Linked DNA regions of Caenorhabditis elegans. The protein of the gene in region 2 interacts with the protein of the main gene of each other region in a pairwise test. Each region holds a gene or a part of one and is shown on either strand. Other genes may lie near its edges.

Region 1 (5,145 bases), on a different chromosome or scaffold from region 2:
CGCCAATGAGTATGTCTGTGTAATGATGGGATTTAGTGGTTTGATGGTGAAAAGCCGTATGATCGACAGGCAAAATAGCTATAATATGAACTTGTTTTGTTGCTGCGCTGATCACGATCAAAATGCGAATTTTTCAAGTTTTTTTGAAACAAAACAATGCCGCTTAACTCTATGCAAAGCTTTTTTCTTCAGAAAGTGATAGTAGCAATATGCCAATTTAAAATCTACTTCTGCGTTTGAGATCTCTAAATCGAAACAGCATTTGAGCTAGAAAATGTTGAGCAAAATTTTTGGAAAACGGTATTTAGTTAGTGATTCTTCTTACTTTTTCATTCCAAAAGCTCAATTAAAAATGAAAAAAAAACTGCACATGTACGTTGACTATAGACGCGTTAAAAGCAGGCTATGGTATTTTTGTAAATATGTGTCATTGTAAAAATTATTGTAATTATTGTAAATTAACCATTATTAACCATTATTGTAACCATTATTGTAAAAACAGACAAAGACATCATGATAATTTTTTATGAATAGATAATTCCAGTATAGTTGGTTCTTATTCACTAATTATCAAAACCAAGTTTTAATGCTCTTCAATATTCTGAGATTAATTTCTCCCAAATAATGTTATTTTGATAATGTTGCCTTCAAATTTTCTTTCAAATTCAAATTCAAGTTTATTTGAATCAAAGTTGTGATATATACAATAAATATGAATAAAAAGACAAAGCGCAAAAATTTATATTCCTGGTTGTGGTACATTAATTCCGCCGACAACTCCTGGTTGTCCGATAACTCCACCTGGTGCAACTCCTGGTGGTGGGATTGTTGGAAGTGTCGGCAGGCTCGGCAGAGTTGGTAAAGTTGGAAGTGTTGGAACCCCAATTCCTCCAATCACAGGTTGAACTCCTCCAATTTGTCCCGGCAGTTGTCCATTGAAACCTGGTTGCCCTATTCCAAGCTGTCCTTCCATGCCTGGTTGAACTGGTGGAGGAATTGGTTGGTCGTCGGCAAGTACAACACTAACGAGGAGAACAAAAATCATAGAGGAGTAGGACATTGTTTTCTGAAATTTAGGATTTTTAAAACTTTGTAATCGAATATTTAGAAGTGAGGTTATAAATTCTCAAACAAACCTTAAATGGCTGAAAATTAGAAGTTGATGATATCTGAGCCAATAAAAACTCATTTTATACCATCGAGAAAATACCGGTTGGATAACTTTTCGGGGATTCCCTCTTCCAAAACAAAACGAAAAAATCATAGTTGTTTAACGTTTGAACATTACTGTAATAACGGATATTCTCTATACACAGTGTTTCACCGATTTCTATGGGATTATGACGTGGTTCGGCAAATGTGGTTTTTGAAAACTGTCGAGTAAAAACATACGTTTGATGTTCAAATTGTTCAATGAATAATCCGATTTGTTAAAGTTCGAAGTGGACTTTGAAATAGGAGTTTAGAGGTGTTTGTAAAAATGCTTCAATATTTATTAAAAATGTCAAAATAAAACATTAAAGTTAGCGTTAAAAAGAGCAGTGGAACACATTACCAGTTTTTAGATGAAATACTGAACATCACATATTAAAATCCTTGGTTGTTGTTTCCATTGGATCCTTCCTGTCCACCCTGTTGTCCTTCTTGGCCCAAGCCTCCGAATCCACCGAACCCACTTGATCCACTTTGTCCTCCTTGTCCTCCTTGCATTCCACCGGTTCTAGTAGATCCTCCGAATCCACCTTGTCCACCTTGCCCACCTTGCTGACCTCCAAATCCAGAAGACGACTGCCCACCAAATCCTCCTTGGGAGTGTCCTTGTGTGTTTCCTTCAAATCCAGATTGCTGTCCCTGTCCACCGAAATCTCCCTGTTGAGAGTTCATTCCAAATCCAGATTGCATTCCTTGTCCACCAAATCCAGACTGTTGGGATGGTCTCTGAGCTGGGAATCCATTTTGAGAGTTTCCTCCAAAACCTCCGCCAAATCCTGATTGCTGTCCTTGACCACCAAAACCGCTTTGCTGACCTCCGAATCCACCTTGACTGTTACCTCCGAATCCTCCCTATATTTGTTACGTTTAAAAATTTCTAAACAAATTTCCTATCTAACCTGCCCGCCGAAACCAACTTGCTGACCAAATCCACCGAATCCTCCCTGTTGTCCTTCGAAACCACCCTGGAAATATTTTTTATTACTCTGTTCGTGACATCATGATTGCAAAACTAGTATCTGATTTAGTACTACGTCTTCCATGAGTCACAAAATGCCTGCCTGCGTGCCTAGTAACTACTATATCAGTCGCGCCGCTAGATATCAAAGACGACTGCAAAATAGGCGTAGGGAGCCTTCAAGGTGACCTAGGCATACGTGGAAGGCGTATGAAGCACTAAACGTTACCGGAGAATTTCCACTAAATCCTCCTTGTTGTCCTCCGAATCCACCCTGAAATTTTTAATTTTGTTTTACTTTTTTCTGAAACAGGTTTCTAGAGCTATGTTGAAAGGTTACCTGAGAGTTTCCTCCAAATCCACCTTGCTGTCCAAATCCACCGAACCCTCCCTGGGAGCTTCCACCACCGAATCCTGATTGCCCTCCAAATCCTCCTTGCATTCCTCCGAATCCTTGCTGAGATCCTACTTGCTGGCCTTGTCCAGTCTGTCTCTGACCTGACTGGCTTTGCTGATTTTGCTCATTTCCCGTTTGGTTCTTTTTTGCTTTTGGGGCGGCAAGAGCTGAGCAAACCAGAAGTGCAAGTAGTACAGCTTTTGAGTACATAGTGTTCTCTTCAAATTAGAAAGAGAAAATATGAAAAGTGAATAAATGATCTGATACGAATTCTCATTCGAACATTGTCTATTTTATATGATTTTGATGATGTAGATCATGAATGTGGGGGAGGTTTTATGCAAAAATTATTGAGTCAGAATTGATGTCGTACTCTGAATGTACCTGGTCTCAAATGAAACCAATTTTTCAGGTATTCCTCCCACTTGCGGATTTTGCTGTTCAATTTGTGATACCTGGAGTTCTACTGGCTCTTCTTCATGTTGGATTCATTCGAGAACCCGAAATTGATATGGGCGATTTGACAAAACAGTTAGTTTTAAGGCGGTGTTTTTCGAACGAATTCAGATGAAATAGTATTTAAAAATGTCTTCTAATTCAATTGAAATGTTGCCTTCCAGGCAGGCAAAAAGAAGTTGAAAACTGTAGTCTTAATTTCCAACTAATTTCCTTCAATTTCCGTTTATTTTCTAGTCTATTTCAGTTTGAAACTTTTCTCACCACCAATTTTATTCAATTCTATTAATTTCAGCAATCGTTTCGGAAGAACTCCTCGAGATCAAACACGAATTCTAATAACGACTGTAACAATAAGTTTTCTCGTTGTTCAAGTTCCAACTGCATTCATCACAACACTGTCGCTCACCATAAATCATTTTCAGAATAATAATGCCCGTGAGTCACAGTTTTTGTGGTGTTCTAAAGTTCAGTTTTTGCTGATCAAGAATTTTGAACCTCGTGTTTGAAGACACGTTTAATTTCAAGCAACCATATAAAATAAGCATCAAAACATGAAGTTCACAAGATTTTTCAAAACTAGAAAAGTCTGACCCTTTTGAATAGATGATGATTAAATATTAATGACCTATAACATCACGTGGTATTCCTCGAACTTCCGTTTGCTTTTTCCCGTTTCAATTTTTTAAATGAAAGATATTTGGCCTAGGGTGCACTCAAATTACCCGCCTATTAGTAGGGAACATTTTCAGAATTCGAATAATATAATTTTATATAGGTAATCAGGAATCGCGTAATGACAATTTTTCGACCATCATAAATTATATTGATACAGTAAGGACGAAATTGAATTCGTGTTTATTTTTATTTTTCAGAGGGTTTTCTCAATTACTTCTTCCTCTGGTTTTGAATTTCGTTGTGAAGAATATCAATAAAACAGATTATCTTACAGTAATGGTATTAGCATTGGTGACTGGACATCTGCAACCGCTTCTCTCCATTACAACAATGGCTGCTAACACGGCAGCACTTTTAACTGCTTATTATGTCATTGTCAAAGTAAGCGTCCTTTTTTATTAAAAATCAATTTCAACATTTTTAGGACGACGATGAAGATGTTGGTGATAGTCGTACCTCAATAAGTGACAATGAATGTCAAAATGAGCTTCTGCTTCGAGCTCAGCAATCCACGTCACGGCGTGGTACTAGGCAAGTGTGGAACAGTATCCGAAGGTATCCGCCATTCATTCAAACATGTTACGCACTGTTTTACTTCTCTTTTTTTTTGAATTTGTCTACTGGTTTGTGTGACTTTTTCAGTGTGGTTGATCTTGTTTTCGAGTGTTTTGCGGTGAACCTTTTTTTCAAACTTCAGGTATTTTCTGTAGATATTCTGCATTTTATTTTCTTATGTGACAAAAAATTTTAATAGTACATAGGTATCTAAAGATGCACAATATCTCCTAGAAAATACTGCTAATTGAACAAACTCCAAATCAATCTTGAAATTTTCAGAATATCTCGTACGTATCTCAGTGTAAGTCACTCATTTGACACTGGCTCTCTTCGATCATTTTCTCGTAAAGGATCTGCAATTGGAGACGATATTCTGTGATTTCAACGGTTCTTCGGCCAAATTTGTTTCGCTTTTCATGTTCATCGCGTGCTTTCGGTTTCGCTATGATATATAATTTTTAAAACAATTACTTATGATTTTTAATTATCAATGCCTTTTGTCTTTCATGTGTGAATTGAATGAAAATGAATTTTTGCTCAAAATAAGGTTTAGGTTACATATTTTTTTTTACAAATTACAAGAACATTGGCTAAAAAACCACAGAAAATATATGAAGTAGACTCAGTTTGAAACGTTCATTGGAATCGAATGTGCAAACTTTGAAATTTCAAGAAAAAATGTCCCTGCCGCGCTAGTCTGGAATCTGTAGAAATAAGCGGAGTGGAGTTCGACGACACACAAATTTATAATGCTCGTAGAAAAACTACCGAGACAAACGTGGATGGTAAAATATCAACTTTGAATCACGTTGTGTTCTTTTAATTTTCTTCCCACTAATTAGAACAACGTTGATTTGAAAAAGATAAAGTAAATTTACCCATGAAA
Region 2 (5,019 bases):
GAGCCTATTTTTGAAGAATATGTTTTCCAACAATAAGAGTGACCGAGTTTTCTCAGGTTTCAAAAGTAATCTAAGACATGTAAGAAATAATTTAATTTAAAAAATTTTCAGCAAAAACTGGTGAGTTTTCTCACAATCAGAGTGATGTTTTTTGATAAGTCGTGTGAGCTAAAAATATATTTTTTTTTAAAGTATTTAAAAGAATTGTGTATTTTATTTAAATTTTTATTTTCAGAGAATTACTGCAGTTCTGATTTCAGCAGTTATCTTTCAAAAATACTCTAGAAAAACACTTGTTTTTGTTATTTCTGAGTTGAAGCAAGGTAGCTAAAGAATGAAGCAAGGAATTTAAAAACAGTGTTTCAGAATGAGAGACATAGAATTACAGTAAACCAGATACATTATAGACATTGAGAGCATCCTAATATTTGTACCTACTTCAAAGAAACTAACACGTGGCGCTTTGAAAGGGAGTGAGAGAAAGAGAAACGGAGGGACAACTCTATGTCTGTCTCTTCTTCTTCTTATTTTCTAATTTATATTTACATCTGCTTTCTTCTTCTCGTTTTCCCATCTGATGGTTTCCATAGTAAGTATCTGGGCTCTGATAAGCAAAGAGACGGCAGAGAGACTCGTGAAGGGCTTCTGGAGCAATAGTAGCTGCATGTGATGGACACTATTTGGAGTCTCCACCGTTAATCCCTTTTCTATTCCTGGAGGGATATTGGTGGGAAAGTGGATAGAAAAAGATAAAGCCTATGTTACACTAAGTTTATATAGAAAAGAGTTGAGCACAGATAGAGAAAAAGAGAGGGATTTGTTGAATTTAGATTTGGAACAATTGAAATAGTGAAAAACTGTTTTGCAAGTTCACAAGTATCCTGAAATTCATTCGTAGAAAATCTACATAGAGAATTGTCACTTTACTTTTGCAAATTTACAAAAACTGTCCTGTTGCGCTAAAACGGTAAAAACTGTAATGCCGCAGAGTAGAGGTCTCATTTGCAGTGATTTAATACATTTTCCATTTTTCATAATTTTCATTCTATTTAGAGACACTTCACTTTCAAACAACAAGGTTGCAACGGTGAATCTCTATATTTATAGAGATTTGTCATTCCATTCCCCGTAGATGGACTTTTCCCGTTTTTTTAGGTCAAGAGAAAACGGAGCACTATACTGCGGATTTGATGTTGTGTTAAAGGATTTGAGAAGTCTAGTTCTTCTGATTATTTCCTGATTTTGGCCGTTTCAAATTGGTCACACTCTTCCAATAAGCCTGTGGATGTACAAAGACTTTTATTCATTTTTATTCATTCAAAAGAATGACAAGAAAATTAATAAAAAGTGAAATGAATTTAACATTTCAAGAAAAAGGAAATTATGAAAAGTTGGTGACTGGTCCCCACAGTTGAAGATTGTAGATCAGCGCTGAAAAATAAAAAGTTAGTTTTTGAATAAAATCAAAAAAAGCTCGAACACTTACATTTTAAAGGAATTAGAAAATTTAATCAGACTCTCCAGCCATCAACTCCCAGAACTCCTCGAACTCAATCTTTCCGGAACCGTCCTCGTCAATCTCGTCGACAGCCTCCTCGAGTTGTTGATCGGTGAGGTCATCGGCGATTTCTTTGAGAAGAGCCTTCAGAGTTGGTCGAGAAATATATCCGTTACCCTGAAAAATTAATAATTAAAGAATAAAAAGCAAAATCTAAAAGTACAAACCTCCTTGTCGAAAAGACGGAAAGCTTCACGAAGTTCTTTCTCCAATGTTTCCTTGTCGACAGTGTTTGCAACGGTGTACACGAGAGCGCAGAACTCGTCAAACTCGAGCTTTCCGGAACCGTCAGCGTCGAACTTGCGGATCAGTTTACGAAGGGTCTAAAAGAATGAAGTTAGATGCCACATAGATTTAGAAAAATCAAAATCATCAATTCTATAACTAAATTTCATAACATATAGTTATATCTTACTTTAGTCGACATAATAAATGCTTTTGTTCAGATGGAATATCAAAATTAATTATTTCACAAACATTAGTAACATGTTTTAGTGGCGAAAATTAATTGAATTCAGTTGAGAAACAAGCCGCAGAAGATAGGTCGGATAAAAACAAAATTTTAGGCAAGAGTAACCCATTTATATTTTCGGTTATCTTACTCAGTTGGCCTACCTAATCATTACCGTGAAACCTAAATTTAAAAGAGTTGAAAACTTCCTAATTTGAATTATCACTCTTCTGAAGATCCCCTAACTCTACATAAACCAAAAGTTCCAAAATGATTTACCTTCTCATCGAAATCCTGTTCCATTCCATGCATGATTTGACCGATCTGAGTGGCCATGATGTATCCTTGCTTTCCTCTGTCGAAGGCATCGAAGAACTTTTGGTATTCTAGAAAGTTTTAATGATGATTTTTCAATCATAAATATAAAATATCTTACCCTCAATTTGGGATCCGTCGATTTCAGCAAGAATCTCTTCGATATCCTCAGCCTATAAAAGTATAAACATATAAAAATTCAAAAAGAAATTTATTGAAGACATGAGAAAGCGGGACTCACCATGTTGTCGGAGTTTGTTGTGCTCTGGATAAGCTTCGTCGGGCAGAAGCAACGGCGGGAGCGAGTAGGCGGAGGAACCCGAGGGCGGGCTTTTCTTTCTCACAACGGCATCATCGTCTCCTCCACAAAACACATTCTTGGTGTTACACTGGGTGACAGATGCTCCTGATCAACGGGCATGAGAGATCATAGAGGGCGAAGAGACGCAGAATGATATCTGTGTGGAAGTTGACGATGATTTTTGCGAAACACAGGATTCGAGAGACAAGGCTCTCCGAGAAGGAAGGGGAAACGGGAGGAGAGTACGAAGAAAGATTGGGGGGACAGGCAACCAAGGATCAATAAAAGTCCAGGAAATAGAAAAAAAATAATATAATTGGAGTAGAATTAAGTACAGAAATGGAGTTGACAGGCAATATATGTAATTGAACTTTCCCAGAATACTTGGATTCTTAGCTGTACATGGTGACCAGAACATCTAGCCTTTTTGGGCTTCAGAACACAACAACGTTTTTTTTTCAGTTTTTTTAAATGTGCACTGAGTATGTATATCTTTACAGTTTTATATCAAACGTTTAATTTGAATACTATTTTATAATTCTCAAGTTTCTCCAGTAACTTTTTATCGCGTGACACACCATTTTGAATTTAAACTTTATGTTTTTCCAATTCAGTTTAGTCGAGGGGGAGGAGGTAGATTTCTAATCATTCTTATTTATCATTTGACACTAAATTTCCGGATTTCAAAAGGAAACCATAATCGTGAGTTTGGAGCTAACAAGTAACTTCGGAAAACGTTATTTCTTTTGAAGAAGAATGTCGAAGAAAAAAGTGCAGAATACGAACAAAAAGATGAAAGAATGTTGGCTGACACCGATCCCACAGAATGTGGAAACTGTAAATATGACAGTTTCATTCAAGATTGATGAAAAAGATGTCGGAAAGCCTGCGAATGAAGTTATTAGAATTAATGAGAATTCGATGGTTTCTTTCCTATCAACAAACTCGTTTTACAATGGATTGATATTGAGTAAGTTTCCAACGGCCGGATAACCCGAAACTATTTTGAAGCGGGCCAACTTCATAACAGAATCTTGCAACTTCTTACAAACCATTATTTACTTTAGTTTTCTAACAAATTTCTGCAGCTTTTCAGATGACTCTTGCAATTTCTTTTGGCAAACTTTATGAAACATTTCGCTTAGAACTGCTCCGGTTTTTGCAACTTTGTAACATCTCTTGGCAATTGTTTATAAATGTTTGTTTCAAGTTGCAAGAGTTTGCTATGAAGTTGTGATGTTTTGCCGAACAAATGTATATTTATCCCCGATAAAATAATAGGCAAAAATTGGTTTGACTGGTACAAGGGTTTCAAAACTCTTCTGTCCACAATTATACATTTTGAGCCAGGAAAAGTCAATTTTCCTCGGAAGACTCCCTAGTTTCTTTTCCACTTTACACTTTTCCAATTAATGTATTAAACCAGTTTAAAAAACTAGATTAAAAATACTTTTCTTTCAGGCGACAAAATAGTCAAGGTGAACGGTGCCAGTGGAAATATATCCAAGTATCAGACAGAGCTCATGAAAGGTGAAACATGTAGTGTTGAGGTTACAAGACGGAAAAATATTATCCCAGCGACCAGAGAACGGTTGAAGAAATCGGGATGTGTTTTGAGACGGGACAATACGTGCTTTGTTATTGAAGTTGAAAAGGTATAATTGAAGAAAAATCGACATGATTATCTTATTCGAAAATATACGAAATCTGAACTTTGCAATGAGGTTTTGAACGGAGTTACAGAATGACCAATTAAATTCTAGAATTTTGCATGTTTTTTGAGTATGAATTGTTTTTAATTTAAAAAATTAAAGACGAAATTATGAAAGTTTTTTTGACGAAATGTGACGAACTGCTTGTTGCTTGACAACAAAAATTCTCATAAAATAATTGTTTAAAATAACTTTGGATTATACCTAGAACTTATGTCCACCCCTTAATAAATACCATTTACTCCAGACTTCCGCAATGAAAAGTGCAACGGTTGGAGTTACAGTGACATATATTCAAAAACGTGGCATAGTAACTCGAATCGAGCCCAGCTCACTCGCTTCGATATTCTTTGGTCGTGGGGATCTGATAATGGATATAAATGAAGAATCCATTCTGAACGCAGAGAAAAATGACGACTTCATTCGTGAGAAACTGTCGGGAATTTTGAAAGGAGAAAAAGTCACATTTTTGGTTGAAAGACCGGTTTCTGTGGAATCTGCAAACACTCTTCGTCATTTGATTGAGTCAGTTGCTCCAGATCCAGATGTTAAGATGGCAAACGACGCGATATGTATTGGTCGGGTGAGGACTTTTTCTTCAAATTGTACCGGCTGAACGTTTGCTTGGAAAACCGGCGTCCGGTTTTGCAAGATTTAGGACGATCCGTATGCTGGAGCTTCA

What was found.
Region 1: the proteins of pat-10 (region 2) and K01A6.4 interact in a two-hybrid assay, tested with the Caenorhabditis elegans proteins (one large-scale study listed by BioGRID).

The regions. Positions count from the first base shown.
Region 1 is NC_003282.8:11,737,508-11,742,652, forward strand, and holds K01A6.4 (Glycine Rich Secreted Protein), read right to left. Parts: upstream 2,798-5,145; 5' UTR 2,778-2,797; coding exon 2,511-2,777; intron 2,445-2,510; coding exon 2,400-2,444; intron 2,178-2,399; coding exon 2,112-2,177; intron 2,065-2,111; coding exon 1,588-2,064; 3' UTR 1,482-1,587; downstream 1-1,481. Other genes in the region: K01A6.6 (G_PROTEIN_RECEP_F1_2 domain-containing protein), read left to right, coding at 2,980-3,098, 3,319-3,461, 3,976-4,082, 4,126-4,256, 4,539-4,638; K01A6.7 (Collagen-like protein), read right to left, coding at 740-1,060.
Region 2 is NC_003279.8:5,017,496-5,022,514, forward strand, and holds pat-10 (EF-hand domain-containing protein), read right to left. Parts: upstream 2,592-5,019; 5' UTR 2,569-2,591; coding exon 2,566-2,568; intron 2,498-2,565; coding exon 2,446-2,497; intron 2,396-2,445; coding exon 2,289-2,395; intron 1,882-2,288; coding exon 1,726-1,881; intron 1,676-1,725; coding exon 1,508-1,675; 3' UTR 1,487-1,507; intron 1,432-1,486; 3' UTR 1,288-1,431; downstream 1-1,287. Other genes in the region: C46H11.6 (PDZ domain-containing protein), read left to right, coding at 3,382-3,595, 4,087-4,280, 4,585-4,920.